Struthio camelus: one gene and its partners. Each later gene encodes a partner of the first gene's protein in a complex. Links are inferred from orthologs where the notes say so. Each region holds a gene or a part of one and is shown on either strand. Other genes may lie near its edges.

Region 1 (7,427 bases):
TTTCAGGTCAAGTTTTAGCCCTCTGAAATACTCTGCAAAAATGTCTCATATACCAATTCCAGCAGCAATCTTTTCTGATGGATGTCCTTAGCTAATGTTACGTATGAGCTTCCAACAGAGCTTAAAGGAAGCTTGATGTCCACCTCGTTAAACGAGGACAACTTTCTGAAGTCTACCTACTTTAAATTTCTTTAAAGCCTCAGCATAAAAACTTACCTTGTCAAGAAGTTATTTGTCATATATTAAATACTTAAATTTTTTTTTGTCATGTGTTTAACATAGAGAGGTGACAGGAGCCAAGCTAGAAGCCTGCAGTACGCTAAGTGGGTAAGAAGGGTTTCTTGCTACCTGGCGTACTAAAAATCAATTTCACACCCATTTAATTTGGCAGCACCCTAATCTTGTACAAAAAGAAGTATTCTACTTTCCCCAGGGGGAATTAAGCCTCAAAAGTGAGGATAACAACATCCCCTTGCAATTTCTTCACAAAGCCTGCTACTGCAGAAGCTAGGGACACTGAAAAACCGTAAGATCTAGCTTAACGACACAGTGAAAGTTTGTCTGACCACAAGAGGCAGGCAGAGGAAAGAGGGGGCTAAAATGCAGAAGTTCAGATATTTTTTAAAAGCTGTGAACACTCACATTCTAGAGCAAAACGGGTTACACACATATCTAAACTGCAGTGATGCATGTTTCAGTATGAGTTCCCAGAAGGAGCATTGCGACTCAACTATACCAATAATTTCAATGAACTTTGAAATTTCTGGTGCAACAGACAGCTGTTGAAAAAGCTTTAACTAAATGTCTATTTGTCTATGCTCACAAGCCTTTGAGATTTATTTTAGTACTACAGCTGCGTTTCAACCAAAAGGAACTTTTATACTAGGACTGCAGGTCTACTTAGTGCTGCATTCAACAGCGACCTTGCACATGTTTTACAGGAAAGTTAAGAAAATCACAGTTGCACACTCATCAGGGAAATCCCTAGGAGCTTCAGATGTACTCCATTTCCATTTACCGTTGTTCTTTTAGTAGATCTACAGTTCCCCTTTTGGGTACTCCGACACGGTAGGATTTACAGAACACTTCTATATTAACACTGCAAATACACTAAACTTCCCCAAATCAGCCATCATTTTCAGGCCAACAAACACCACCAAAGCAGGACGTATAACGCGCTAACTAAAAGCATCAGTCACAGATCATGAATAACCAAGTTCAAAGTACATAAATCTAACAATTAAAATTTCTGTCCAGAACAAGCTAGCAAACCGTGAACATGTTTTATCTTGCACAGTGGTAGTTATTATTTCTTGCCAAGACTTAAAAATGCTCTGCCTCATTATTACTAAAGCATATAATAATTGAACAGTTTGAACACACAGAATCGTTTCTACAGTTACCAATATATTGATTCAAGCCTTACATATACCCATAAGATTTCTTTCAAATATGCATTTGCCTATACATTCCCATAACTGTAAGCTAACAAAAAAGAGCACTTTATAAAGCAGAACACCACACTTTCCACACGTAGCTGTCCGAATACAAAAGCCTTCTACCTAAAGTTATTTTTACATAAGAGTCTTTTACTAACTGAAAGAGACAAGCTTTAAGTACTTTGCCGAGTTATTCCAATTAGCAATAGGAGAAGCTTGATCCAGGTTTTTAATTCCCCTCTAGAAAAGGGCGTGTGGGCCACTGCAATTTAACACTTGGAATACAGACAGTTAACACCTCCTTTTCTAGAGCGAGGAAACATTCGCAGATGAACCTGAGACAAAGACAGCCACAGATGGCCAGACTGAACTACTTTTGCCTACACAGTTGTCATCTAACATGGCCTCCTCATTAAGGCCTTGTCTTCACCATGCTTTTGTCAAGAGAGCAGGGCAAAGCTGCTCTGGCTCTACTGGTTGCAGTAGCCACACAGACAAGGCAACGCGATTTCTGGCCATTCTGCAATCCTTCACGAAGCACCCGTTTCACAACGCTGGTTATTTACCTCCGCGCTACCTGACTACACTAGCGTCCTCCCATGGTTGCCTGCCTACTTATGAGGGAGATTACTAACAAGCCACGATAGGACGCTTTTAAGCGCAGCGAGGGAAAAGGTGACTTGTTGCAGGAGTTTACAGGCAAGGAGCTGATAACTCGGAGGAAGGGGTGCGCCCTCGCAGCGACCCTCACCGTCACCCTGGCTTCCCACCCCAGGCCAAAACAGCGACACCGGTCGGCACGGCTACAACGACAAGCCCAGGATGGCCGGCAGGCAAACCGATGACCCAGCACCCAGGGAGACAAAAAGCCAGGGAGCGCCTCCCAACTCCTCCCCGGGCCGCAGCTCACTTTTTGCGCTCTACCTCCAGCGTTAGGCACAGCCGAGCCGCATCTCGGGAACCGCTTCAGCGCTGCTCGCTCCCGGCAGGGCCGACCCTCTGCACCCCACAAGCGCGGACCAACCTTCGCTTTTATTCGTTGTTTATTTATTTTTACCGGGGAGGGTTCCCCCCTATCCACAAGCGCTCCCTTCACCTCCCCCCCCAACCCCGCGCGGCTCCGCGCCGCCGCCCCTCCCCCCCCCCCAAAGGCGCTCGCGCCCGACCGTTGCCAACGGCCGCCCCTCCCCCCCCACCGCTGCCCTGAGGGGAGGGGGGGAGGGGAGACGAGGCGGCCCGGGAGCCCCCCGCACCGCCCGCGGGCGGCGGCAGGGCGGTTCCCCGCACGGCCGGGCCCGGCCCGCAGCCCGGCAGCGGGTGCTGCCCGCACGGACGAGGAAAGGATTTGGGGGGGGGGTGAGGAAGAGGTCGGGGGGGGGGTCGGCGGTCCGCCGGGGGGGGGGGGGGGTGTCGCGGTAGCGGCAGCGCCCGGCCCGCCGCGCGCTCTCTCTCACCTCAGAGTCTCCGCCGGGCGTTGGCAGCTCGCTGCGGGGTCTCCTCCGTTCAGGCACAGGGGCACGCCGCCGCTGACGTCATCACGCACCGGGCGGGGCGGGGCGGGGAGGCGGGGCGCCGCCGAGCCGGCGGAGGGGGAGGTGGCGCCCCGCCCCCCCGCCCCGCCCCGCCCCGCCGCGGGCGCGCGCGCGCGCGCCGCCGCCTGCAGCGCCGAGCACCGGGGCCGAGCGGAGCGGCCCGGAGCTTGGTCTTGGTGGCGATAGGACCCCGGCCCCGGGCCTGCAGCGCCGTGCACGCGGCCCGGTGGCGGGACTCGCAACCTGGCCGTTTTGGCTGAAAGAGGAAACTTGTCTAGATGAATTAAACGCCCGAAAGCGTTTAAACCGGCCCGAAAGCCGGGTCTCGCACCGCGGCTCGAGTAGGCAACGTGGAAGGAGCGGGAGGAAGCTGGCGGCGCAAAATCCCTAACGGGGGTGGGGGGCGGCCGAAAACCATCTGGCGAGGCTGAAAACCACTGCCGTGGGGCGGGTTCAGCCTGCGGCGCCCAGCCCCGCTTCTGTGCTTTTGCAAAACGTGCAATCCAACGAAGGCTGCAGACAAGAGCTGAACCGGTTTTATCACATCAGACGGACGTTTCCCGCGCTCTCAGCACCGTTTATTACCATCGAATAAATAATAAACCCCCCCGCTCAGGACCAGGAGAAGGCAACAAGGCTCGCGGCATCCCTAAGAGCCAGCAAACGTAGGCGCCGGGCCGTTCTCGTTCAGATCCCGCAGCGACGACAAGGCGGGCTGAAAAGGGCCTTTTCGAAGTTGAAACGCAGCCCGATAGTTTCTTTGCTCGCAGAAGTGCCAAAAAACCAAACAAAAACCCACATCCCCAGCCCACCTTCGGCGAGGTTTTCCGACGTGAGTCACCAACGCCTGCCGCCCCGTTCGCTCCTTACCCGCGGGTTTGCTCCTCGGAGCGAGGAAGGCGGCACGCGTTCGCCCAAATCAAAGGCGGGGGGGCACGCGTAGGAGCAAGACAGGGCCAACCCCTAGCGTGCCGGCAGCTCAGGCCTCTTCCCTTTGGCACCGGTATCCCGCCCGCTCCTCCCGGCTGATTTTTGATGCTTCCTACCCCTTCGACCCAAAGAGGCGGCGAGGAAACGGCTTGCCAGAGGTCGAGCCGAGCGGATGAGATCGCGAGCCTGGAAACGCCTAGGGAAATCCTCCCCGGAGCTCTTCCCGTGGTTTCGGCAGGGCCGGCTTCTCCGTTTTCACGCGCTGTTTGGTTCAGGCGCTGGGCGACGCTGGGACAAAAACCGGCCCTCGGCTGCGAGCGCTGCAGGAAGCTCGAGATCGGCACGTCCCACTTTTCTGCCAGCGGCCCCCTGCTCGCCCTTTTCCCCCAGGACGGGCTGCGTAAAAGCATCTCTTGACTTATCTTTCGGTACTTCTGACGTCCTTCCAGCTCTTTGCTTTTGATTAGATGAAAGCGGCCGCCCGCCGAGACGGCCAAAAGCCAGCCTGTAAAATCACAGGCTCGGCAGCTACGAAGGGCATCACCCCAATCCCCTCGTACGTGTACGTCACCGTACGGATTTTAATGATGAAAAACGATCGCTGTCACAGAAATAAAACTGGGGCAGGAATACCTCTTCCCAGAGGAGCGTAAATCAGCACACATGGAGATCTCTGCTGCTGCTGTAATTAGCACTGTGGAAAAGCCCATGCAGTAATTAACTTTCTACCTTCCAAGTTGAGATTTAATAACATGCAGTAAAATAATGCCTGGGGCTATGCAACAAGGGGGGGGAAAAAGCCCCATCCAATTAGGCACTTGCCACTTGATAAGGAATTAATTATACCCTGATCTTTCTTATAATAATAATACGTTGCTTTTTATCTGCTCAGTGCTCTAAGTGAGGGAGGGGTGCGCTGGGAAAACCTCCTCGAAAAGTCCCGCATCAACTCCGAGGACCAGGTTTCTGCCAACCAAAGACTCAACCGGAGAAGGATGGGGCTGAGCTGCTGCATCCGGCAGAGCTGGAAGGGGAAAAAACTAGGAAAGAAAACGCTCGGGCTGTCGGGGAGCTCAGCCTCAAACCTCCCATCCCTCCACAGGACCGGGACGTCTTCTGGTGGGTCGGATCCAAGCAGCCAGGATGGCTCCCAGCACACACGGCTGTGGGATGAAATAGGAGTCGGCCCCCCATCGAGAAATCAGGAATGAGACTTGCTCCAGGACAGATGGTCTTTATCATCTCCAGCATCGAGGCGGCACCAGGAGAGCTGAGCAGGCTGCATGTCCTGACTCCCAGGGCATGCCAGGGGTGCGAGGGCCAGAAGAGAGCGATCCCGAACGAGTAGGCGCATGCCTCTCGCTGGGGCAGAAAAGCTAAAAATCTGCCAGCTAAAAATCTGCCTTTAGGTAACGCAGGGTTACAGGTAGTGGAGGCTGCGGAGGCTGCAGTGAATATGACTGCCTCACCTGGGAAGGCCGGAGGAGCTGCGCTGCCGGCAGCCACGGCCGGTAAAACCGGGTGTTCGGGAGGCGATTTGCAGCTCCTCAGCCAGGATTTGCTGATCTTGCAACAGCCAGAGGGCAAAACTGCAAAGCTCAAAGGCAAGCTCAGAGAGGGGGGGACTGCACTTGCACCCGGAAGAGAAAGCACAAGGCAAGAAAAGAAAAGCCTGCCACAGCGCATGCAGGCTGGAAGCCGAAGGAGAGGCTGTCCCCTGCTGAAGGGAAACTAAACTGGAGGGAGAGCTGCTCTCCTGCTGGCAAGACCCGGAGCAAGAGAGACCCCCAAGGAGCCCTGCACCCCCACGGCATCTACATGCCTGGATGGATGGAGGGCATCTTCTCAAGAGCGCTGATCTTTGCATCTCCCCAGCACCCGGCGCAAGACAGAGAGACACCAGCGAGCCTCCCTGGTACAGCAGGAGAAGGGACGTCAGCCATGCAAACAGGACACCGGGCCCGTCACGGCAGTACATGTGAGATCAAGATAAGATTTATTTCATTTTTTCCAGTGCTCTGCCACAGCCACACTCAACATAAAACAAGAGTGCAGGGCCCGGCACGTTCCCCGTCACTCCCTGGCAGCTCAGCCGCTGAAGCCAATGGAAACCCGTCCTTCAAAGAGCGCACAGCCTGCTCCAACCCTCAGCAGCCAGGCCAAGGGCCTGAAGCTTGCGTGGTCCTTTTGAGGATGCTCTTCCCAGCCAGGAGAGCTCCAGGGCACCTCATATGGAAGTCACAGGCTCTTGAACGCTGTTGGGAGAGACCCATAGGCTCAGCTCACAACACACCCTTCTGCATGGGGCTTTAACTGCTCTTCCCCGGCCAGAGGGCTTCCTAAATATGTGCTTTTTCATCAGGGCCGAAACCCAGCCCTGAAATGATTACCTAGCGCAAGACGCAGAGTCGTACACCGTGGCTGGACAGGCAGGACGTATTTCATAGCGCTATCACATCTGCGTCAAGTGATTTTGCTTTTTGCCCCAAGCCCTCTTGGACTGACTCCATCTGATATCTGCCTCTCGCTAGAGCTTGGCACGAGTCAAAGAAAGAAATTACTCGATTACCAGAAAATCCAGTAAGGCTGATTTTGGAATTAGTCTCATTAAAGTACAGCGCAAGTATCGGCGGCAGCAGCGTTTTCATTTCTGGATCTCTCTCCTTGCCCCGCCTTCGGCAGCGTTCGGGCACAGCCGGCCTGTCCTCTCGCAGGGGCTCTGCTCAGAGGTCCTGTACGGTCACGGCGGCTCACGTCACTTGGTGAGACCCTGGAAGTTGGGCTCTGTACACGGAGGCAGCGCTGCCTGCTGGCTCAGCAGCTTGTCCAGGATGTTTATTTCAGCATCTCGCCTGTCGATGTCCTCAAAGGGAGTCCAGGACATGTCGTGCTGGAGCTTATAGGCGCCGAGAAACTCGTGGGGGCTGGTCCCCCATTCCTGGAGGAGAGAGGACAGATTCACGTCACAACTCTTGTTTCCCTCGGGGCCAGGCTATGCTGGCTGTCTTTTGGCCTCTCTACCCGTGCCGGATTGCCATACCACTGTTGAGGCAGTCCCAGTTACACACAGCTGTCTCATTTTCTAACCTAAAAACAGGATGAAGCTATCCTGAGTCCGAGACCAGGCTGACTTACGGCACTGCTGACGTGGGGAGGTTTGGGGACGGGTTATCAGCCTGTCCCCTGCCCAGTTCCTCCAGCCGGCTCAGTGCTTTGCTTTCTGTTCTCTTTATAGAGTATTAAAATCTGCTTCAAGCGCCCATTTGAGCTCTTACCTGGACACTTCAGAGGAACTGCCCACTCTCTCAGGGAGGGCAGCCCACACCGGGCTAGCCCACCAGAGGTGGATTGAGATCTTTGGTCTCAGCTGGACACGGAACGGAAAAGTGACCCACAACTAGTGACGGAGCTGTGGCGCCTTTCTAGCCATAATCTGAGGATGGCAGCAGGGCACAGAGGTCACTACAGTCCTTCATTTCATCATTAAGGACCTGGCTCTGGAGCGTCCAACCTACTCGTGAGAAAA
Region 2 (7,308 bases), on another chromosome or scaffold:
CTGAAAAACTGACTGCACAAAGTTAGAAACTGTAGCATATCAGGCAAAAGCTGGATTTAAGAAAATAAGGGTTTTGTTTTTTTTAATACTTCAGAAATGGAAGATATTTCATTTTTGTGAAACTCTAAGGCTTTTTATATTAGGGAAGACAAAGCTCCTCATCTCATTCATTCTGTATTGAAGCTACGTTCCTGGTATAATCTGCACACAGCAAACTTCAAGCACTCATGAATCACACACCTGCTTAACTGAGACTAACAGAAATCATTGTAATAACCTGATCTGGCATATTTAGATTTCTCAGTGAGAGGTGTGCATTTTTCAAATACAATCAGTTGCTAAGAAAGTTATACTATAGAGACAATTATGACAATAATGAAAATAACTTGATCACAATAAATAAATAAATATGACAATTTGCAAACATTTACCTTGTTTTATTGCATTACCTTCCCTATCCAAGTACGAAATCCTCTTGAATCTTCTACCAACGGTTCCATCTCCCTCCCATTCCAGAACATCCCCCCCTCCACCTACGTTTTTCTGAAAGGAAATCTATTTTTTTTAATTCTGCCAGCATTGTTTCTTTGCTTTCAGAGTGAGAAGACAGCAACTTCAGCACAAAGGCACAATTTAAAATCACTAAAACTTCAGCACAGAAATATCTGTAGCGCAGGAGCGGTGCCTCAGCTATACTCATAACATCCAGGAAAAAAATAAAAATACAAGGACAACCAAGATGTACTGATTTTTGCTATAGATTAACCCTACTATGCCAACAGCCTACACAGCTGCAATAGCACCTACCCTTCTAACACAGACAAACACTTAAGACAGAAAATAACTACCTATGGGACATTTAGTGACTAAAAAGAAAACAAAACACCAAAACACAATAAATTTAAAAACACTCATAACATGAACCAGTCCAACGAATACCACAAAACATTACTGAGGTTAAGAACGTAGTGTAAGATAAAAAAGTTGGAACAGCTATTTACTAAAGCAGTATCACAGTAGCTAGAATATGCACTTAACTACATGAAAAATACGGTTTTTCCAGAGAAGAGTTGCTCTGTAAAAGACAGCAGCCCAGCAAAGTGACTGGCACTCATACTCCACAGGGTCCTTCTTCACTACCATCTCCACAATCCTATTAGACTGGATTCCACAGAGGAGTATCCTGGTAACTTCCTGTGTTCTACCTAACACCAATCCTGCATTTTGCACAGTAATTCCTGCATCAAGCCTCCGTAAACCTATGACAACAAAAAATCTCTGTCCTGACCGACATCAAGCAATGAGGAATTCACCATGTATTCTGGCAAAATATTTAACTTCCCACGGAGGTAATGATTTCCACTTTACTTCCAGCTGAATTCAGCCACCTTTAACTTCTACCTTGTGAAGCTTTTCGTGTTTGGGGTGCGCTTGGCAGCAATGACAGGTTCCTAGGATAACGCAATGCCTTCAGGATTTTCCAAATTGGCCAATTTTAAACGTTCCCCTGAGCAGGGGAGATCACTGTATAATGGTGCAAACCTACTGGCAACAGGCTTGCTTCTTCTTAGGTTGACTCCTCCATAGTCAGCTGAAGTCCATGCAAAGACCGAAAAATCCTCCTACAGCAGATATTGCTGCATCTTCCCAATACAGGTCTATTATTCCAGACACAAATACCTACATCAGAAAGTGGTGGGCTCTGTAGCAATCCATATGCTAAGTTTACTTTCCTGCAAATAAGTTAGCCAGATCTCTTATCATGTAGCAGGTCTCCCAGACTTCAAAACTTTATAGTAGCTCCTTCCTGAGATGCTAGATGATATGCCCACATCATCTTGTAAGCATTAAAATCGAAACTTGGGTAGTTTTAGTAACGCATTCAGTAATGCCCCCAGCAGGGACACTGCTACCTTTTAACTCAACATTCTCACTTATACATCTAAGGATCAAGCACCACTGGGGACTCTCATTCATTTAGTTATGTCTATACTTTCAGAATTGCTCTAATGATCCATTTTTCCCTCTGACACAAATAGTATCTTCTGTTCTATAGGTGTTGCATTTAAACACTTTTCTTTCATATTAGATCTTACGGTGATGAGGAACAATATCAACCCTCCTTTTCAAAAGATGTGAAGTTTTTTTTTTCTCTCTTGGCATCTGATTTAAAGGAAAAATTGCCTTTATGTTCCTCAGGATTTCCCACTACTTGAACTACCCAACAAACACTTTGATTTACAACTTGAAAGTAAGCCTCGAAGTCTGTCTTCTAACGCAGAAGCACCTCGCTAGAAATCAGCTCTTTCAGGTGACATATCCACAGAAGGGTCCCCAGGCCCCCAGAGATGGCATGCACCGTCTATCAATTACCGCTAGCAGTTTTATGAAAACAAAAGCACAGGCGAGCACTAAAGCCATCGGATCTTTCAGGAGGGCTGCAAGGAGCGCACAGTCCCCGTGTTAAGCTTAACTACGTTATCAGGTCGTTTAAGGCTGGTGCGGACAAACGCCTCAGCTCGGCCACCAGCCCCAGCGGCAAAACGCGACTTAATTCCTCTACAAAGAGCTTCACGGCTGGAAGCAGCGCTGGGGAGGGACGCGGGGCCCCTAGGGGGAGGCGCAGGCCGGGGGGAGGGAGGCCGCCCTCCCCGGCACGGCAGGGGCTGGGGGGCACTGCCAGCCCTGGGGGTCACTCACCCGGGGCCCCAGGGCCCTCGCCGCCGGCCCGCCGGCCGCCCGCCGGCCCCAGGCTGTTCACGATGTAGTGCGAGACGCGGGAGCTCTCGGACACCGAGAGCACGAAGTCGCCGGGGATGGTGCCCGAGTCGCGCACCAGGAAGGTCCCGTGGCGCTGCCCCTGCAGCAGCGACACCGCCTCGGCCCGGCTCAGCCGCCCCCAGTACCAGCTCGCCCGGTCCTCGGAGTCGAACTGCCCGGCCATGGGGGCCGCCCGCCCGCAGGCCGCGCTCGCTCCCCTCCCCCCCGCGGGCTGCCGCCGCCGCCCGCCGTGCCCCGCTCCGCGCCCAGCCCAGCCCTGCCACCCAAAATGGCGGCCCCTGCCCTGACCTCACCTACCGGATGTGACCGCACGCGGGAGACGCGGGGCAGGCGTGGCGTCATCTTTCCGCGCGGGGACAGGAGCGGGAGGGGGAGGGGGAGGCGCATGCGCCGTAGGGAGGGGGGGTCGGGCTCTGAGGCGAACTGGGGACATGGCGGCGGTCGGGGCGGGCCTGGCGACCCCGGCTCGCCCGCGTCGGTGTACGGACACCGGCGAGGGCTGCTCGCCACCGGGATGACCCCCTCGGGGTACCCGAGCGCAGCAGCGACCCCCGCCAGGGCTCGCCTCTCCTCGCCGCCCGGCCGCCGCTCTCCCAGCCGCTTGGCGCCGACTCCCTCAGGGCCGGCGGGAGCAGGGCCCCGGGGAGGCGGGAGGGCAGCCGGGGCTTGCCTCTGCGGCCGGCTCCTCCCGTTACGAGGCTGCAGGATAGCCCCCTGCCTGTGCAGTTCCCTGATGGCTTCCCAGCTACGGGGGCCCGCAGCTCCCTCTGGTAATTCGTGTGAGGCCAGGCTTGTCTGCGCTCAGGATGGGCCGGCAAAGGGTGCAGCTCCATGTGCCCTTTCTTCCGGGGGTGTACCGGCAGCAGTAGCTCCTGCCCTCAGCTTCCCCCCCAGCCAAGGGTTGTGCCAGCACAAGCTGTTTTCATGAGGCTACGTGCTGAACTGGGCCAGTGAGCTGTTAAAAACAGGCCTGCAAAAGAAAAAGGTTATTTTTACCCAGATCAGTTCACTGACTCTGTTACTGCAGGGGCCTGCCACAGAGAAACGTGTATGTGGGCATGCACAAATTTAGATTTCTAGATTATTCTCCAAGGTCTCTCTTAAGTTCCAGAGGAATGTCTGTAGAGCCTGGATAGATGTCTATTGAATTCTTTTCCAGCTCTGCTCAGTTCTGTGAGCTTTTTCCAGAAAGGAATGTGCTTTTTCAACTGTGTGGCCTCCATGTGGCAGCACTTGCATAAATACCACGTTGGAGTACAGCTGTCCTTAACTGTGATGGTGCTGTCCTCAAGCCTGGCTGACTGAACCTCTTCTTTCTTGTAGGGCACTTTGAAGCCTTGTAACTATCTTACAGATGGGACTTTGGCATAAATCAGGTAACTAGGATCATATTAACCCTCAAAATATCCTAGCGAGAAAATATATCCTGTGTCTTACAGGTGGGAAACTGTTGTTCACCAAATCCATAAGAAGACACGAGGTGCTGGATATCTATCCGCTTTGGCAATAGTTTAACAAAGGAACATCCTTCCCCTGCTGATCCTGTTCTCTCTCCAGATTGACAGTAGGTAGGAGACAGTCACCATCCATGTGGAACCCAGAGCTCAATTCCCCCTACTGACATGTGGAGTTTGCTAGCCAGCTGCAGAATTACCTGTCTTTGGCAGTTCCATGCCCAAGTTAGTCACAAATTTGGAAAGCTGCAGCCGCAGTTTCTTGTTGAGAGCCAAATAATCTAGGAGAGTTAAATCACTGTAGCAAAAAAGTGTCCATTCTGTCCAGTGGTTCACAGTCCAAAAAAAAAAAAACGAAAAACAAAAAACTCTTAAAATGGCAAACTTCTTCATTTTTCTGACTCCTGCCAGACCACTGTAAAAAAGACCGCTTTTGACTGAGGGCCCGCAAACTGCTGCTTTATCTCCCTTCCCGGTCCCCACCCTTGTACCCCATCACCCTCTGTTTTGAGCTGAACCACGAAACTACAGGAGATGGAGGAGGTTTACATGCATGGTTTGGCTTTCCCTACTGCAAGCCGTTGGGAATCTTATTGCAAGAGTTCCCTCTGGTGGTCAGTGATGGGGAAATGAGTGAAACTCCCGATGAAAGCAGCTCCTTTTGCCGTTTTTGTGCCAGGATGATTTCTAACTCTGAGTCACTCTCTGACCCTCATTATTTGTCACGTTTCCTTTGCTTACTCAGGGCTTCTCCAGGTAACCTTTCCCAAATTCCTCTTCCCCTCTTCCCTTCCGTATGTAGCACTTATGTAAGCCCTCCACTCTGCAGTGGTTTACTACCATTGACCCATCCTTTCTGAACAAAAGCTACGATAAAGGCGGAGCCCTTATGCCCAAACCTGCATTCCTGTGCTGGCCTTTCAAAGGCAGAGGATTGCAGCCTGAGATGAATGGGAAGGAACAACAGAGTTCTTGGCCACAGTTTCAGAAGAATAAAACTAGATCAGTTTGTAATTCTGAAGAATTCACTGTTAAAAATTTAAACAAGATTCTGAAAGAAGTTGTAAGATACCAAGAGAAGATTCCATTGACCTACCTGAGAGCAAAAATGCTACCAGTGCGAGCTCTCCTTAACTGCGTGGTTTTCCTCTCTCAGTGCAGCTAAACTTGATTTCACTGTCCCTGCCAGTCCGCCTAGAGATGAATTTTCCTAAGGAGCATTAAAACTTCAGCAACTGATCTAAAACCACAGTTAATCAGTAGAAATGTTCTTGCTTTCAAGGATGTTAAAATAAAATTAAGGAAATACCTGGGCTAACTGAAGGCTTCATCTGCTCTAATAACTGCAATGCTAGAGAACCTGGGGTCACATAACCCCATCCTAACCATAAATCTGCTCTAGATCACAGATGCCAATACTGTTTCTACTTACAGAATGAAAACTAAGAGGAGGAAGAGGTCCACCTTTTGGTGGACCATGTTCTGGAGAAATAGCATTTCTGCCACAGAGATGTGTTTCCTCTTGCACTCATTCCAGAATTTCATCAGCTGTTTATGTCCTATTTACTACTCACATGTCCATGTTACGTATGTGTGTTTGGTCTCTGCCATAACTGTTCACATCTGGTTTGGAAGTATCATGTTTCTGTGGTTCTTGCCAGATACTAGCTACATGATGTCAGCACCAAATATAGCACGCTGAGGAGTGCAGCTGACATTAGCTGTTGTGTAAGGACTTCTACACAGAGACTGTTAAAAATAGTAAGCCTGGAAGGTGTGACTTGTAGTGAGAAAAAATATTGGTCCCACTGGAGTACGTATAAGGGCAGGAGCCTTTACGTTGCCAGCTACAAAATCTCTCCACACCACGCTGGAAAAGTCAAAATTGGCTACTGAAATTTACTGGGAAGTACTATCAAATCAAAGGAAAGGCGACATATCACAGGGGATAATTTTGAGGGTTTTGGTCAGAAATTGTACAAAATTGAGGAATGGAGCAGCCCAAGAAATATGAGGAATTTCTACTGAAATTGGCTGGATGTGACAACCAAGGTGGATGTGTAACCTGAGCAGGTTAGTTTAAAGTGACTGTGAGCTGCAGATGTGATGCAGCTGACAAAACGCAGCTGCCACGGTGGAATATATCAACTGCGGTGTCTCGCCGCGGAGGGGAAGCGCTGATGCCATTGACTAAAGCCCTAGCGAGCCCTCAGCTAAAACACAGTTCTGGTCTGCTGTGTCCAGGGAAGATATAGCTGAACTACAGAGATTAGGATAATTAGAGGAATGAAGAATTTGTTTCATGATAATGGATCCAAACAGTGTGACTTAGCCCAGTGAAAGGAAGGCCAAGAAGAGCTAGGACTTTTCTGTTAAAATAGCCCAAACTCAGCCCAAGAACAATAGGCTAGAGACTTGCCATGAATAACTTTTAAGCTGGAAATTAGATTTCTTTCATCAGATGTGTAGAAATCCAGAAGGACCTTCCTATAGAACAGAGGGGAGCGGAGAAAAAAAAAAAACACACTAACATTTTAAGGAGTCAGATCATTATAAAAGTCATTGTAGAAAGCAGAGCCTGCGCTGACAAGGTCTGGACCTTACAACCCATCCCCTCCATCTCATTCTGTATTTCTCTGTACAGCATGTATTCTTTTCCCTACGACTTTTCTGCTTTGCTCTAATTTTCCAGACATAGGAGAGCACATGGCGGCGCAGCGGCTCATGTGAAAGGATCCCACGGATCCAAGGCCTGCTCCTCACACTCAGACGTTCAGTGCTGCCCAAGGCGGGGCAGGCATTCAAAATCTCAGCAAATTCACAACAGAAAAATCCACTCAGGGGTATCAGCTGCAAGCGACGCCATTGAGGGCTGGAGGAAGGCGGCGCGCCTGCCTCCCTTCGCCCTTCCCTCAGCGCCCCGAGGTCAGGGCCGCGGCGAGCAGCTGTCTGTGGGGAAAATGGCCGCTTTAGCCCTCTGCCGATCCGTAACGCTGGAGGACCCGCGGAGCCGCCCTCTCACCGCGTCTCTATGGCGCTGAGGCGCACCAGAGCGGGCCGTCGGCGCCGCTCC
Region 3 (7,577 bases), on another chromosome or scaffold:
CAGACCAGGCTCCCCAGATATGCCCACATGCTTTTCGCAGGCAGGCAGGCAGGCAGGCAGCTCTATTCTTTGGCTCTAGGTTTCAGGACAGAAACATTAACTGAAGAGGGATCCAGAGCAGAAGAGCTCTTGGAATTTTTGTTCTTCCTGTGACCCAGTCTCTAGCTCTCAGAGAGCTCTAGAAGGCTTTTCACAGAGCTTCCCCCACCACTTTCCCAATAGTGCAAAACAAAAAAGTACAGGGTCTCACATGAGATAACCTTTGAGCATTTTAGAGAAATAGTATCCTCGAACTGCCTAGCAATAGGCAGACACTGAGAAAGAGAGACCCGGACCTGAGAGGCAGGATGCAAGAAACTAATTGAGGGCCTTAGCATAAGGGAATCCATTTTATTTCCTGACAGAGTGCAGCCGCATGAGATTTTTCCCTGTCTACTCAAATGCGACCTATAAGCAGAACCTGTCACTGAAAAGAAAGTCCACCCTTTCTCAGTGTAAGGATGAAACAGTTGTTCAAGAACAGCATTTGATTAAACACGCAACACAATTTAAGTTCTCTGCTTGCTTTAGTTAAGCATAATGGCAAGACGTAAATTACACGCCCTGTATTAGCCAGTCATAAGGCAAGAAAAATGATATATCTAGATGTAAAAAGTAAAAAGCATAGTCAAACATTTAAAAACTAAAGAATCATATTTGACATCAGAAGCATTTACTGCTAGGATCTAAACTACTTCCTTTTTTCCAAGTGTTTAAGTATGGTTTCTGCACCTATACTGGTTTACCTGAACATTTGCTAAGCATGTGCTTTGCTTTCTAATAAGAATTGGCTTTCTCAGTAGCAGAGAGATGTGCTGTAGAACAGCATGTTCTGTTAAAGGCGAGAAACCTCAGGCTTTTAAAATATAGTTTTTACCCAAGTTCTGGGCTGGAGACTCCTCCTTACACAAATCTCAACAGAATCCAGCCAGGGAAGACGGCCCACCTGTGTCTATGAAGTCTTGGTAGCTGCTGCTCACACAGACTTTCCTTCTTTTTGCAATTCCAGTTTTGCTACTCCTTTTGCTACTCATGTCTCAGCTATACCTACTCTGCAGTTTCCGTTTCCTGTTTTTCCTCTGGATGTACTACTAATTCAGAAGTAAATCTACATACAAATCTACATCAAAACATATCCATCCCTGTATTAGCATGCCCTGTACACATATTTACAAGCAACAAAGAATTACAAAAGTCAAGTGGTTTCTTCTCCCTTGACTTATTAACAAGCAATGCTCAGACCCAAGAGCAATCCACATTCTGGGGCTGTTGTATTATTTTTCTGACTCTGCTGTCATCTGCCCCTTCCCAGTTTAGGTTAATTTGCACAGATGTCTGGTTTTCGTGGCACACCAGCCAAGTCCCTGCAGTTCACTACAGTCTTAATATCAAACACAGAATTAGCCTATGTTCAGTAGCAACACCCTAGAAGTAAGAACATCAGGAGTCAACATCAGAAGTAAAACTCAAATTAGGCACGGCTCAGCCCCACAGAAGGGCTCCTCTCCCCACTGCAAGAAAAGCAACCAGTTGCTTAGCAGCACATCTTCCAAGTACGCAGGCTCTGCGTGAACAAGGCCCAGGACTGAAGGAATCGCTGAGAAAGTCCTGCGCAAGTCCTGCCTCCCACCAAAACTGATCATACCACTGAGAGCACCACTCCCCTGAAGTAGTCAGAGAGTCAACAGCCGGGCTGCCTCTGTCTGGCTCCCTAACGACCAGATAACTCAAGAAGCTATTGCTTCTGGAATAAATTTGGTCCTTCATTACTGTAACAGCTTCTTAAACCAGTAGCATTCCTTCCCCAGTCATCCCAAACACTTAGCTGAAAGCCACCCCCGTGCCCACTAGAAATTCAGCCTGACTAGCAATCAACCTCCTCCAACCCTGCAAACAAACCAGCAAGACAGCAAAAGAGCTGAGCTCAGCTTCCTCGGTCAGAGCCCCAGCACAAGCTCCACCGGTTGTTATCAGTGCTACTCGGGACCCACCTCTTACACAAGCAGTGTGGCTGCACTTGAGGAAACAAGGGCACACACAGCCCTAAGGACAGACTGTGCCTTTCCTCCTCCCCTCTGCCGTAAGTCTGATCCTCTCGGATCTGCTATGACTGAGCTTCTATGAAAGCCCAGATTCAAAGAACAGACTCAAAGGCGGGTTAGCTATTTACATAGTTTAAAAAAAAAAAGAAAGGAAAAAAGTTCTGAAAACACATGCCAACTACACAGTAATATCAGGAGGGACATTTAAAAAGCCAGGCTGTTAGGCACCAAAGCGGACGGCCCGTCAGCCCCCAGGGCCCTGCTGCGGCTTTCGCACACTGTCTGCGGCGATCACCAGCCACTGGGCTGCTGCTGGAGCTGGGCGAGCAAGCAGCCGGCTCTAGAGCCCGACCAAGCGCAACTGCCGCGCGCCAACCTCAGCAGTTACTTAGATCGTGCCAAGCGCAAAAAAAAAGTTACGAAAAACTTTCCCGGCCTTTGAGCCTTGCTTTTCACAACCCAGCTGCTGCACCACGGACCAGCCCCTCGGACGTTTTGCCCCAACGCAGTTTTCCCCTCCGAGTCCCGCCGCCCTCAGCGCGCCACAGGGGGCAGCGAGAAGCGGCAGCCGGCGCGACCCTCCCCGCGGCGGCGACCTTCCCTTCAGGAAGCCCCCGGGGGGCTCCGGCGGCCGGCCGGCGAGCAGCGCCCCCGCCCGAGCCGCCCGGCCCCGGCCCCGGCCCCGGCCCCGGCCCCGGCCCCGGCCCGGCAGCGCCAGCGGAGGCCTCGGGCCCCGCGCGGACAGCCGGGCCCCGCCGCCGCCCCTGCGCGGAGGGCTCCGCTCCGCTCCCCCCGCCCGGGCGGTGCCGCCCGGCTCCCGCCGCCGCGGCCCCGGAGCTCGGCCGCCGCCGGTACCTGCCGGCCCGCGCGCCGCCGCCGCCGCCCGCCGCCCCGCCAGCATCCGCCGCCCGCCGGAAGCGCGGCCCGTCGCCACGGGAACGCGCCCGCCCCGCGCGCCGCGGGAAGCCGTCCGGGCGCGCCCGCCGCCCCCTCGCGCCGTTCCGCCGGGCATGCAGCGCCGCCGCCGCCGCCCGGGCCCCGGCCCCGGCTCCGGCTCCGGCCCCGGCCCGGCGCGCCTGCTGGGACCCGCGGGCGGCGGGCCGGGGCCGGGGCCGGAGGGCGACGCGCGGGGCGGGGAGGCGGCCGGCGCGGCGCTGCGGAGCCTGCCGGCCGGGCTGGCGCTGGGGCCGTCGGGGGCGCGGGAGCGGGGCACGGGCGTGTGGTGCGTGGGCCGGGCGCTGGCGGCCGGGGCGCTCCTGGGGCCGGCGGCCGCCGCCGAGGGGCCCGGCTGGAGCAGGTGAGTACGGCGGGGCGCCGCCGGTGCGGCCGTGCCTTTGCAGCCTGCTGAAGCCGAGCGCGAAGGAGGAGGAGGCCAACGTGGCGCTGGTGCGGGTGGGCGGCCGGCTGCACGTCCGGGCCCGGCGGCCCATCGCGGCGGGCGTCGAGCTGCTCTACTGGCCCGAGGGGGCCGCGGCGGAGGGGAGGAGGCCGCCGGGCCGGCCCCAGGGCACGGCCGTCCCCCGGGAGGCGAAGCCGAGGGGGCAGCTGGCTGCGGCGGCCGTGGCGGCGGAGGTGGAGACCGTGGTGCAAAGGGAAGGGGCCTCTCCCCGGGGGAAGGCGGCTGAACCCGCCGCAGGTACGTCCTTTCGAAGGACCGGTGTCCCGGCCTCGGCGGGAAGGTCAGGCGGAGGCGGTCTGGTCTTCCCGGGCCCGAGACTGCTCGTGACCGGGCTACTTCAGAGCTCACAGTGAGCCTGCACCAGCATTACACTGTCCTCCAAGATCTTAAATCCTCAGGAGATAATCGGAAGGCCTTTTTTTTTGGCCTAGACAGCTCCCACTTCCCAAGCAAGTGGGTAGCAAAGCTGCCTTTCCTCTCAGAAACATGGGTTTGCTGTCAGAAGGAAGGATATTACCCATGGTATCTGCACAGTGGTAGGATAAACATAAAGATGAGCCAGATAACTTCCTCTCACTAAGCTTGGTATGGAGAAATTTCCCCTGGGGAACTGTCCTCATTCAGGGTGTTTAGGGTGTTTTCCTCAATGTCTCCGGTGGGAGGTGGCTGCCCCCTCATCTGTTCCCTCACACAGTATGGTTACAAGAATCCATATGCCCTTCAAGTTTGAGCAATGCTTTCCTGGCATTTCTTACCCATATTTGAGACTCCCACAAATGTGGTGCTGCTTTTGAACTGGCTTCTGCCATGCTAACCCTGCATCCCTCCAAGACTTTTGTCCTGACTCTGCATCAGATCAGGAAGTACCAGCCAAGAAAGGAAAACGCCATAATGTTTTAGTCTTTAGCACTGGTACTGTCTGTGGTGAGGGGATAGAGATTCCCCCCACTTTCCCCAGTTGAAAAAAAAAGTCATAGAAGTGATGGTTTTCATTCTAGAGCCCCAAGACTATTGGATAGCAGAGTGTCTCTTTCTGAGGTTCTTGCTCCTCTGATCCAGCAGCAATCGTGTTATCCGACAACAGCCAGCATTAATTCACCCCCATACTTCTGTGTTGTGCAGGGTATCCTGATATCTCCAAGGTGGTAACTGATGAAACCGCAGTCCTCGATGTCCCTACTGAGGTTAGGAGGCTGCCAGCCAAACATCTCCACAGGCTGCAAGAAGAGGAAAGCACAAGTCCTCAGCATGAGCTGTGGCAAGCCAAAATGCTGAGGACTGAGAACCAGCACCTCAAGACCATCTCAGCCACTAAAGCCAATAGCAGGTGCAAGGAAGAATCGGGCAACGCTGTAGATCCCAGAACCACGGCAGAAAAGGCAGAAATGGGGCAGGGAGAGGCAAGTCCAGGAGACCTGCACCTGTTGTTGCCCTCAAGTGGGGTTGGACTCAGTGCTCACTTGGCTAGCAAGCCATGCAAGGTGCATGCTCTGACCGCTCAGCTCCAGAAGTGCCTGCAGGACTATGGTGGCATGAGAGCTGGGCAGGAAACCCAGCAGCCCACTCCATCTGAAGGAGAGAACACAGAGACCTGCAAGAAAGAGAGAAAAGCTTCCACAGACTCCAAACTGGCATCCCTAGAGAATGGAGAAAAGGGCCCACCAGATGGGCCTGAGGAGAAGGAGTATGCAAAGCTGGAGGAGGCTCGTTCTGGCAGCACAGGCCTCCCAGCAGAAGCTCTGTCCCAGAGGGAGATTGTTGGCAAGCGCAGGTACCGCTGTGGGGAATGTGGCAAAGCTTTCCTGCAGCTCTGCCACCTCAAGAAGCACCGCTTCGTCCACGCTGGCCACAAGCCCTTCCTGTGCACAGAGTGTGGCAAGAGCTACAGCTCAGAAGAGAGCTTCAAGGCCCATGTGTTGGCCCACCGGGGTGTGCGGCCTTTCCAGTGCACCCAGTGTGACAAGGCTTACCGCACAAAACGAGACTTGCAGGAGCACCAGGTCCTGCACACGGGCCAGCGCCCCTTCTCCTGTGAACAGTGTGGCAAGGCCTTTGCACGCCGGCCCTCTCTCCGCATTCACAGGAAGATCCACCTGGCCACTGGGCCTAGCCCAGTTGGTGCTAAGGGCTGCCAGTGTGCCATCTGCGGACGCTACCTGGCCAACCCCGGCTCCTTGCGCAACCACATGCGCCTGCACACCGGGGAGCGCCCTTATGCCTGTCCCTACTGCAGCAAGGACTTCCGACAGCAGAGCAACCTGCGTGAGCACCTCCGGCTGCACACAGGCGAGAAACCCTACAAGTGCCGCTTCTGTGGCGATGCCTTCCCCAAGCTGCCAGAACTGCGGCGCCATCTCATCTCCCACACAGGTGAGGCCCACCTATGCACAGTGTGTGGCAAGGCGCTGCGGGACCCCCACACACTGCGTGCCCACGAGCGCTTACACACAGGTGAACGCCCCTTCCGCTGTGAGCAGTGTGGTAAGTCCTATACCCTGGCCACCAAGCTGCGCCGCCACCAGAAATCCCACCTGGCTGACAAGCCCTACAAATGTGAACTCTGTGGCATGGGCTACACCCTTCCTCAGAGCCTTGCACGCCATGTGCTCACCCACAAGGCAGAAAAGGACCCGGAGGAACTGGCTACTGCAGTGGCCTCCCTCAACGCAGACCTGCCTCAGGCAGCGCAGAAAAGGCCTCAGAGGAAAGGCCACCAGGAGGAGGAGATGGCAGAACCCACCTTGCTCATGGTGGAGGTGCCAGGGACAGCAAATGAGGCAGAGCTGCTGATCACAGCCAGTGGTCACTGCATTGCTACTTACCAGTCCCAAGGCAGCCCGTTGGATCCTGGGGCACACAGGAGGCCTGCTGGGCATTTGCCGTCAACCAAGGACATCATTGAAATTACCATCTCTGAGCATGACGACAAGTGCATTATTGTGCAGGATGAGGGCTCACCAAGCGACATGGTCATCATCCAGGAGGGGGTGGGCTTTGGAGCAGTGGCGGAGGTGGTGGAGGTCGAGACTGGGCTCTGACTACCCCAGCCTGTCCTGGCTGATCACATTCAGTATGGAATATTAAAATAGGGTAAAGAAACAACAACGAAAACTAGCTGTGTCATCTCTCTCTGACAACAAGACCCTGTGGCTCAGCCCCAGGCAAAATTAGTGGCCTTGAAAGTAAATAGCCTTGTAGACCTGGGTCTTTTTGGCAGCCATCCCTCCTAGGTACGGGCCTACATGTGCCACTTGCTGGGACTGGTGCAGGGAGGGCATTTGCTGATGATGGGAAAGGCTTTTTAAAGAGGAAAGCCCACAGCTATAATGAGCAGTGCCCCTACTCTGTCTCTTCTTAGGTTGTCAGTGAGTGACAGTGAATGTATGCAGAAGGCAGGGACGAGTCTGAAAGCAGCAGCTTTGGACAACCCCTTCCTTTCAAATTTTTCTGTTCCTGCTTGACTGCTGCTATTCAACTACTTTTACTTGCCTGGGCTTTTACTCTGAAACTCGGCAGTATTTCTGAGCCTTTGCAGGTGATGCTAAACGCCAGATTTTGCTGGGAAGCAGCTTTCAAAGTGTTTGCAAGGTGTCTGTGTGCGGGTTTTTTGAAAAGCATTTTTCACAATCAACAGAAGCAAAGCCTGGCCTTATAGCCAGGGCTGAGTGTTCTTCTCCACTGTCACCTGCAACGCTTGCTGTAGGAAGTATAGTAACTGGATGGTATGCCTGAGGACATTAAAGGATAGCTTCATTTCTCACAGTAATAGTAGCATTGGACAGTGCAATTTTTGGTGTCCCCAGCTGAGACAGACAGTTCATTTCAGTATGCTCAGGAGATTTTGCCTTTCCCCTCCACATTCAAGTTAGGTTTCTTTTTTCTCATCTGTTTGCCCTTGTTCTTTTTCTTGCACTCTTGCTTCTTCTCTTCCACTTCTCCCTTGCCCCTGCCCCAAAAGCTAAAAGACAGCACCACCACAACTAAACTCCAGTTTTCCCACCTTCCCATCTTCATGACAGAGTGCTCATTTGCCACCCGAGCCATCCTGAATGAAATTGATCCTTTTTCAGGCGGGAAGTGCACAGTTCCAGATGCCA
Region 4 (7,677 bases), on another chromosome or scaffold:
TGCAAGCCAAAGAATCCAGTTTAACCTGCAATTAGCCTAACCTTGCACAGGTACATGCGGCTAGCGGCGGCTACCCGCTCCTAAATGTCATCTTTCATCTAGAGGGACTTAAAAATGCTGTGAGGTTTTCCCCTGCATTCAGAAAGCTGCAGCTCTGGAGGTGCCTCCATAGCGTGAGTTATTGACTGGGCAAATGCTAGGACTCTTTATAGCGGAGTTAGTTTGTTCTGGTCCTAGGTAATTAATAGTCTCCCTGTACTTAAAAAACAAAATAAAGCAAACCTAAACCAGTCTCGAAGCACCTAGTGATGGATCTGCAAAACCCAGAACTGCAAGACCCAGAAGCCCCATTGCTGCTTCACTCTGAGGGAGCCGATGATCCTCGGGAGCGTGGGGGGTGCCTGTCAGAGGGTCAGCCTTGCTGGTCCTGGGTAGTTCATGGTTCATCTCTGCCTGAACTCCACAGGAATCCTTCCATGTGATATTTTTTCCAAAAATTTCCCCTGGAAACTCAGTCTGCTCAGAGCATATGCAGCATGTGAAAGTGCACAAAACAGCTGGAGGAGGAGGTACAGTATTTGGCTTCATATAAATGAATAGTTTGTTCAGCAATTAATGTCTTAAACAGTCCATCTGGTTGTCAGCCAGAAGCATGCGCAGTGCATGGAGCAGTCCATTCCTCTGACAGCTGTGGGACTGGTGAGTGGGGCCGGGCCGGCAGCAGCAACCAGCACAGCCACAGCCAGTGGTGGCCAAGCAGACCCATCCTGACGCTGGGAAGCCGAGCCAGCGTGCCGGGCCAGCGGCTGGGCGCTGTGTTGCGGGTGAAGGCTGAGGCGTGAGCTTGCACGGCGATGTGCCTCTTGGGTCCATCTTGTAGCAGCCTGATCCCAAGTTACAAGTTTACCACATCAGAGCAGACCTCGAGCACAGGCAGCCAAACCCTGAGGTCCCGAGAGCCTGCTGGCACCCCCAGCCCTGACAGCCCCTCCAGAGGCCTCCAGTCCAACCTGCTGTTGGTTGTTGTGTCAGACCACATCGGCTGTGGCTTCAGCTACAAGGCCAGGAAACCTTCAGGGACAGCAGTCCCGCAGCCTCGCCGGATAACATCTCCAGCGCTGCAGTGCTCTCCTGGTAAAGAACTTCTTCCTTCTTCAAAGGAACTTCAAAACGGAGGCTGGCCTTTAGTTGGTTTTGCAAGTTGCTAGTTTGCTGGTTGCCCCCTTATTACCCAGTGACTCTGTGGTCAGCTCCAGCCAAGATGAAAAGACTGCATTCAGTTCCCTCCTCTTCCCTATGGGATTCAAGCCTACATGTTATGTCTGTCAAGGGCAAACTTTATTTGCTCTCTCATCTCTGTATTTCAAAAGTATTCTATTGTTAAAGTCTTACTCTGCCTGAAAACGGGAAGCAGTACGTGTGGCTTAAAGTCTGGTGCCTGAAGAATTCCCTGGAGGAGGTGGAGAAGCGTGGACGGAGGATTTGCCCTGCCTCGGTGACCGCTGTCTGTATCAAGCATTCTTGCAATGAACTATACAGTCACTGGGCAGCCGGTAGTGACACCCAGGCCTCTTTTATAAAGCTACCTCGCACCTTTCACTTTCCCCTACGTAATATAGGGCAAATAACCTGCTTACCATTGTTGGTGAGGACGTTGCTACTCTGCAGCACGAGTACTGGGAGCAGTGACTGCTTCACAAAACAGGCTGATCTACTGCTAAAAAAATCAGGTATCCATGGTTAGAAACTGTCTTCCACGGCCCTGTACTCTGACCCTCATCTGTTATCTGTGATAGTCTAATGCTCCATTATCTCACAGGCGTGTTGTGATGCTTAATTAACTAATTAATCTTTCAGAGAATTTTGATACTCTTAGATAGAAGATGTCAGGGAAAGTATCTATTAGTGTTTCCTTAATTACTAACAATAACATTGTTATTAACTCCTAAGAACGGCCTATGGTTTTAAAACTTATTTTATGAAGGCTATCAGAAGTATTTTTAGGCTTTTAACCAAACAGCCTTAGGAAATTTCGATCTATCCGTCGGATAACAACATTTCTAACAGCGCCACACTTTTAAATCCCATGCTCTGACGCTAGCAGAGTGTAAATTTGCACATTTAATGATGTCATTCATGATTCTGGGTCAAATTCTGCCACACTCTGTGGGCAATGTAACCAGTTGAGATGTACGTCAGGATAAAATGTGTCACTTACAATCCTATTAGTGGATATATCATTAAAGTCTCTTGTAATGAGAAAAAAGGATGAGCACATTTAATTAGTAGTGGTTTTAGAGAATATACGCAGAAATGCTCACTTTTATTTCAGTTTTGAATAGGAGATTATGCATATTGCAGCACGTGACTTTCGATGTATTGTTTCTGTGGCAGCTTTTAAAGTTGTGCCTCTAGCAAAATCATTATCCTAGATAAGATAAATTTAAAAATGCTCATTATCTAAACCGTAATGCCTCTCTTATTTTTTTTTTTTTTTTACAAATTAATCTCCATGTGGATCGTTACGATCTCCTACCAGGCGAAGGCAAAAACGCTCCATCACTCTAGTAGATATTCATTGATCTGGCAAAACCCCATTGTTGAATGTGCTGGTAATAATATGAGTCAAACAGTACTTTTAAGGAATGACTGTAACAGCTTTTGAAGAAATGAGTTTGACATTGCTACTGTTTACTATTGACTTCCAGCTAACATTAGTAAGAGGTAACTCACTGAGTAGTCTGATTCATGAGTTTGACTGAATTTCCTGAAGTAGCCTGCAGCAAAATGCAGAACTTCATAGCTGACCACTGAAAGTGTTAAACGATGTTTGTAATTTTATTTATAATTCTGAGAGGGCACCGTGTTCTGCACCATGGGGACGCACGTGCGCACCCACGCACTGTAAGGCCAAGCGGGGCAAAGCAGCACACAGCAGTAACAGGACACGTAATAAACGTTGAATGGCGGGAGAAATAGCAGTAAGTGTATCATCACGAAGGTGAAAGCTGAGTGAAAAATCGTTCTTCTTTGGAAGGATAATCGAATGCTAATATAAAAGAGAGGAATACGGATTGGCAGGTGGGTCACAGAAGAAGAACTAGGTCTTAGACTGGAGAATTAAACAGATATAAATCACTAACGCAGCATAGTCACCAAATGGGTCAATACTACCTTTCGCTGAGTTGCAGGATTTTCCTCAAAACCCAAGGACGGTACTGTGCCGCTCGGTTTGGCGTTTGTAACAGAGAAGGATGGGGGAAAAGGGGGCCACCTCTAAGAAACTCCCCCGGCTGAAGGGTTAACGAAGTCTAGGTTTGACGGTCACAACACTTAAAACACAGTAGTGGAGAGAGCTGGCAGGAAATTATTAAAAAAAAAAAAAAGGAAAATAGCATCTGAAGAAAAAGAGAACTCGACATGCTTGAGAGAAAGAGGGTTTGCGTGATTACACAGAGGTTGCACTGTCGCAAGTTGCACTGCGAGGCAGAAAGCTTGGCAACGACTCGAGACAAGCAAGCCTCCAAAGGCAGCATCTTTTAACCCAAACAGTGACATCCGTTCAGAAATTAAGCCCTGCTCCCGTCGTCCCTGCGCCCTGTAGCCCACACGCCGAAGACAAAACACTCGGGGGAGAGGGGGGCCCGCGCTGCCTCCAAACTGCGCCCTCGCTCAGGGCGTCTCTCCCCTGCCGGCCAGCGCGCCTAAAATGGACGCTGAGGGGGCGCGGAGGCGCGCGGAGCCCCCTCAGGGGGCCGCTCCTCCCCCCGCGCGGAGCCCCCTCACACGGCAGCGCTCCCCTCACGGGGCGGCCCCTCCCCCCGCGCGGAGCCCCCTCACGGAGCCGCGCTCCCCTCACGGGGCCGCTCCTCCCCCCGCGCGCAGCCCCCTCACGGGGCCGCGCTCCCCTCGCGGGGCGGCCCCTCCCCCCGCGCGCAGCCCCCTCACGGGGCCGCTCCTCCCCCCGCGCGCAGCCCCCTCACGGGGCCGCGCTCCCCTCACGGGGCCGCTCCTCCCCCCGCGCGGAGCCCCCTCACGGGGCCGCGCTCCCCTCGCGGGGCGGCCCCTCCCCCCGCGCGCAGCCCCCTCACGGGGCCGCTCCTCCCCCCGCGCGCAGCCCCCTCACGGGGCCGCGCTCCCCTCGCGGGGCGGCCCCTCCCCCCGCGCGCAGCCCCCTCACGGGGCCGCTCCTCCCCCCGCGCGCAGCCCCCTCACGGGGCCGCGCTCCCCTCACGGGGCCGCTCCTCCCCCCGCGCGCAGCCCCCTCACGGCGTAGCGCTCCCCTCACGAGCGGCCCTTTCCCGCCCGCGTGCGGAGCCCCCTCGAGGCGCGGCCCCTCCCCCCGCGCGCAGCCCCCTCACGGGGCAGCGCTCCCCTCACGAGCGGCCCCTCCCCCCCCCCTCGGCGCGGCCCCTTCCCGCCGGCGAGGACGCGGCGGCCCCCGGCGGGACTACGAGTCCCATCTGGCCGCGGGGCGGGGAGGGGAGGCGCGGCCGGGCGCGGCGAGGCAAGGCGGGCGGAGCGGGGCTTTGTGCGGGCCGCGGCGGCCGCGGGGCGGCATGCGGGGGAGCCGCCGCGGTGCCGGAGCGAGCCCGCCCCGGGTGGGAGGGCGAGGGCGGCGAGCCATGACGGCTGTGCGCCGTCGGTGCTAGAGGGCGACCGCGGGGCGCGCAGCCCGCCTCGCTCGGCGGCGCGGCGGAGCGGAGCGCGCAGGCAGCGCGGAGGGTCGCGGCCGCCGCCGCTGCCGCCGCCGCCGCCATGGGCAACGCGGGGAGCGTGGACGCGCAGCAGACGGAGTTCCGGGCGCACAGCGTGCCCCTCAAGCTGCCCATGCCCGAGCCCGGCGAGCTGGAGGAGCGCTTCGCCGTCGTCCTGGTGAGTGCCGGCCCCCGCCGCCCCCCAACGGCCGCCGCGCTGCCGGGTCCGCGCCTCTGCCCCCCGGCCCGCTGCGCGTTGGGGGGCGGAGGAGGCGGAACGACGCCTCCAAGTGCCTGGAAATGGGGAGGTGTGTGTGGGGGGGAAAGTTGGGTTTGGGTGCGGCGCTGCCTGCCGGCCCGCTCGTCCGCCGCCTTTAAATGCCCCGTGGCCGCCCGGGCGGGGGGGGGGGGGGCTCGGTGGGGAGCGGGCGGGCGGGCACCTGGCGGGGAGGGGGGGGGAAGGCTGTCGTGGCCGCCGAGGAGAAGCAGCCTTTGTCTGGGAAGTCACCGAAAGAATCGCGTTGCGCTTGAGCTGCCTCGGTTTGCCCCGCGCTCACGTTTTTCCCGGCATCGGTGGGTGCCGGGGGTTTGATCTTCGACGGCCGGAGCGCGCGGTGGGCTGAGCCGGCGAGGCCGCGGGCCGCCCCCCTCGCCCCTCTCTCCGCTGCCCTGCCTCTCTCCTGGCTCCTAGACAGCGGAGCCTGTCTCCCGGGGGAGTGTGTGCAGGCAGGGGCCCCGACCGTTTCAGTCCGTTTTGGGGGGGTTTGCAGCGAAAAGGAAAAGAAGCAATGAATCTCTGCCTGAGGCGTGATATGGCCAGGCACACAAACGACATGTACGTGCGTTCGTGTTATCGCGCGCTGTGCTGGTTTTGGCTGTAGGCATTTCTGTTGGAGTTTGATACCCTATCTATTTATCTATATGTATAGATATATATATATATTTTTTTCCCCTTCACCTGAATAGCACAAAGTACTCAGGATTAGAAATCAAGTTCCTCGGACAGTTTTCAAGGAAAGGGCGGTACTTCTCTTGGTACCGTACAGTAGTGCTTGGGGCAAAAGTCCTGTTTTGTTTCCGAAGTTTAAATAGTTTGACTAGGCTATAACAATCCATGTATTCTTCTATGTAGTTCTTACGTTTGAACAATATTTACGTGAAAAACAGAAGCTGGGGAGGAATGAATAAAACACATGTGCACGCCATACCCTGAGTTCACTGTAACATCATGTGAAACTCAGTGATACTAACTATTATAACAGTAATTCCCATAATAGATGTTAGATAGATATCTAGATCTAGATATTAGATTTCAAAATCCCCTGGCTTCTGGAAATACTCCTAGTGCTGAGTGAGGATTCTCCGAGTCAAATCGGTATGTGTTTAGGATTATTTCTGGTTAGACCCAATTAGATTATCATGTCTAAGAAAAGAATAAGCCTATTCAATTGGGAGCCCCCACTGATGAACCAAATGGTAAGATGTTATGATTATTAGGCATAGTGAAAAAGCCTAATTTTTGTCCTTCATTTATTGGTGAAATCTGTAGACCCTTTACTGACAGGGGAGATATCCCTATGTGCAGTGCTTCGGTCAGAATCAAGTCAATTCATCTTTCCGTACCAAAAGGACGTCCAACTTAATCTGCGGGCACGGTCTGTAGAAGAAAAACAGTGCTTTTGAATTAGGACCAGTTGAATTAGATCAGTAAAAGGAAGGGACACCATTTGGAAAACAGAGTGTGTTAGACGCATATAATGCAAGCGTCTGGGATAAGAAATTACAGGCTTGTTCCTCTTAAAGTACTTGAAAGGAGGAGATAGCAACTCTTTTTAGAAGATGGACTTAAATTAAGGGTTTAGGGACCAGTCCTATAGCTTTTACTCTGGGGACTGGCAGCCGGTGCAGGCTCATATCTAAAAATGGTCTGTTGGATGCCTGGTCCGCTCCTTTGAGAAGGAGCTGCAAGATGGGGCTCAAATGCCACAATTGGAACAGCACGAAAACAACTGCCTTTAGCCTCTTCTTGAAGCCAGCCAGGGATGGCTGGTATTTGTTGTAGCTTCCAGGAAACATTTGACCAGTTTATGAAAGAATAAACTACAAGGCTGTGATTACTGTGTTTTCTCTGCAGCTCTGAGGGAAGATGGCAGTACTGCTGGTTAGACCGTAGAATTGCTGTTCTATGGCCTACCCAGAGATTAATGAGAAAGGAATGGCAGTCCTGGGGGGAGGGGGAAGAGTATTTTCTGTAGGAAGAGAGGTTTTGTCAGGAAACGAGAATATGAAAAAAGAGGTTTGTAGGAAAAAATCTCACCTTCTTTACATGCTGTCTTAAGGAAACAGTCTAAAATAACCCTTCCTTGAATAGAGTGCCCCAATGAGATCCTAAAGGGCCTTGCTGGCAGTAGTGATTTTCTTACCATTAATGAATTTTCCAAAACTGTTTTTGAAGTTGATGAACGTGCTGCTCAGTCAAGTTGCTGCCACATGCGTGTATACAGTCATTGCATTAAACAGTTCGTCTCCGTTTGTATATATAAACCGTGGGGCCATGTGGGCAAGATTTCTTCTGTGTGGCCTCAAGAAAGTATCTTAAAAGTTTCGTTCTTCTCTCCTTGTGGCTCACTATGCTGTTTTACGCAGACAAGCACTCTAAAACACGCTTATGTCCATGGCTAAGGCACAGGATGGTCAAGTTTTTACCATAAGTGCCGTAACACTGACTTTTATCCTTATGTTTTTTCCACTTTGAACATACTCTCCTAATCTTCTCAAACAGCTCTGTGGCCTCTTCATCAGAGGGATGAACAGTGGTGCACCTAGGACCGTGTGGAGTTGATGCATGGGTGCAGCTGGCATTTGTTGAACTGTTAACAGCCTCAGTTTTGAAAAAGGCCTCTGATGAAGTAGTTTGTCCACTTTAAACACATGTAGTCGTCTTGCTGCCTCCTTGGTTAGCCTCATTCTTGAGATTTGA

The links.
Region 2: CDC42 (region 1) and CRK share a complex: the UniProt entries of both Homo sapiens proteins name them as parts of the collagen stimulated complex. The link is inferred for Struthio camelus from reciprocal best matches to the Homo sapiens genes CDC42 and CRK.
Region 3: the proteins of CDC42 (region 1) and ARHGAP1 are in contact, whole or in part, in a crystal structure (PDB 1GRN), measured with the Homo sapiens proteins. The link is inferred for Struthio camelus from reciprocal best matches to the Homo sapiens genes CDC42 and ARHGAP1. Residues at the interface, in NP_001034891.1 of Homo sapiens: Asp11, Gly12, Ala13, Tyr32, Val33, Pro34, Val36, Phe37, Gly60, Gln61, Glu62, Asp63, Tyr64, Arg66, Leu67, Leu70, Ser88, Glu91, Asn92, Glu95, Lys96, Asn132; in NP_004299.1 of Homo sapiens: Glu278, Gly279, Phe281, Arg282, Arg283, Ser284, Ala285, Asn286, Thr287, Gln288, Asn309, Glu310, Val316, Lys319, Arg323, Asn385, Lys386, Met387, Asn391, Val394, Val395, Pro398, Asn399, Trp402, Ala403, Lys404, Ala406, Ala407, Thr409, Leu410.
Region 4: the proteins of CDC42 (region 1) and FMNL2 are in contact, whole or in part, in a crystal structure (PDB 4YC7), measured with the Homo sapiens proteins. The link is inferred for Struthio camelus from reciprocal best matches to the Homo sapiens genes CDC42 and FMNL2. Residues at the interface, in NP_001034891.1 of Homo sapiens: Val36, Phe37, Asn39, Gln61, Glu62, Asp63, Tyr64, Asp65, Arg66, Leu67, Arg68, Pro69, Leu70, Pro73, Ser88, Glu91, Asn92, Lys94, Glu95, Lys96, Pro99, Glu100, Thr102, His103, His104, Pro106, Lys131, Asn132, Lys133; in NP_443137.2 of Homo sapiens: Ala41, Met42, Asn43, Leu44, Pro45, Lys48, Leu52, Tyr55, Lys59, Glu62, Leu63, Asp66, Gln67, Arg69, Phe70, Lys73, Tyr79, Arg108, Glu109, Ile112, Ser113, Leu114, Arg115, Thr116, Asn117, Ile119, Val122, Asp219, His222, Met226.

Annotation. Positions count from the first base shown.
Region 1 is NC_090962.1:12,587,259-12,594,685, forward strand, and holds the start of CDC42 (cell division control protein 42 homolog), read right to left. Parts: upstream 3,015-7,427; 5' UTR 2,894-3,014; exon of another isoform or gene 2,854-2,893; intron 2,576-2,853; exon of another isoform or gene 2,350-2,575; intron 1-2,349. Other genes in the region: C21H1orf50 (uncharacterized protein C1orf50 homolog), read right to left, coding at 6,657-6,839. UniProt on the Homo sapiens protein: Plasma membrane-associated small GTPase which cycles between an active GTP-bound and an inactive GDP-bound state. In active state binds to a variety of effector proteins to regulate cellular responses. Involved in epithelial cell polarization processes.
Region 2 is NC_090957.1:15,834,715-15,842,022, reverse strand, and holds the start of CRK (adapter molecule crk), read right to left. Parts: upstream 3,002-7,308; 5' UTR 2,945-3,001; coding exon 2,701-2,944; intron 1-2,700. UniProt on the Homo sapiens protein: Involved in cell branching and adhesion mediated by BCAR1-CRK-RAPGEF1 signaling and activation of RAP1.
Region 3 is NC_090946.1:39,735,454-39,743,030, reverse strand, and holds the start of ARHGAP1 (rho GTPase-activating protein 1), read right to left. Parts: upstream 3,004-7,577; 5' UTR 2,937-3,003; intron 1-2,936. Other genes in the region: ZNF408 (zinc finger protein 408), read left to right, coding at 3,092-3,378, 3,422-3,717, 4,603-6,518. UniProt on the Homo sapiens protein: GTPase activator for the Rho, Rac and Cdc42 proteins, converting them to the putatively inactive GDP-bound state. Cdc42 seems to be the preferred substrate.
Region 4 is NC_090947.1:44,704,103-44,711,779, forward strand, and holds the start of FMNL2 (formin-like protein 2), read left to right. Parts: upstream 1-4,668; 5' UTR 4,669-4,758; coding exon 4,759-4,875; intron 4,876-7,677. UniProt on the Homo sapiens protein: Plays a role in the regulation of cell morphology and cytoskeletal organization. Required in the cortical actin filament dynamics.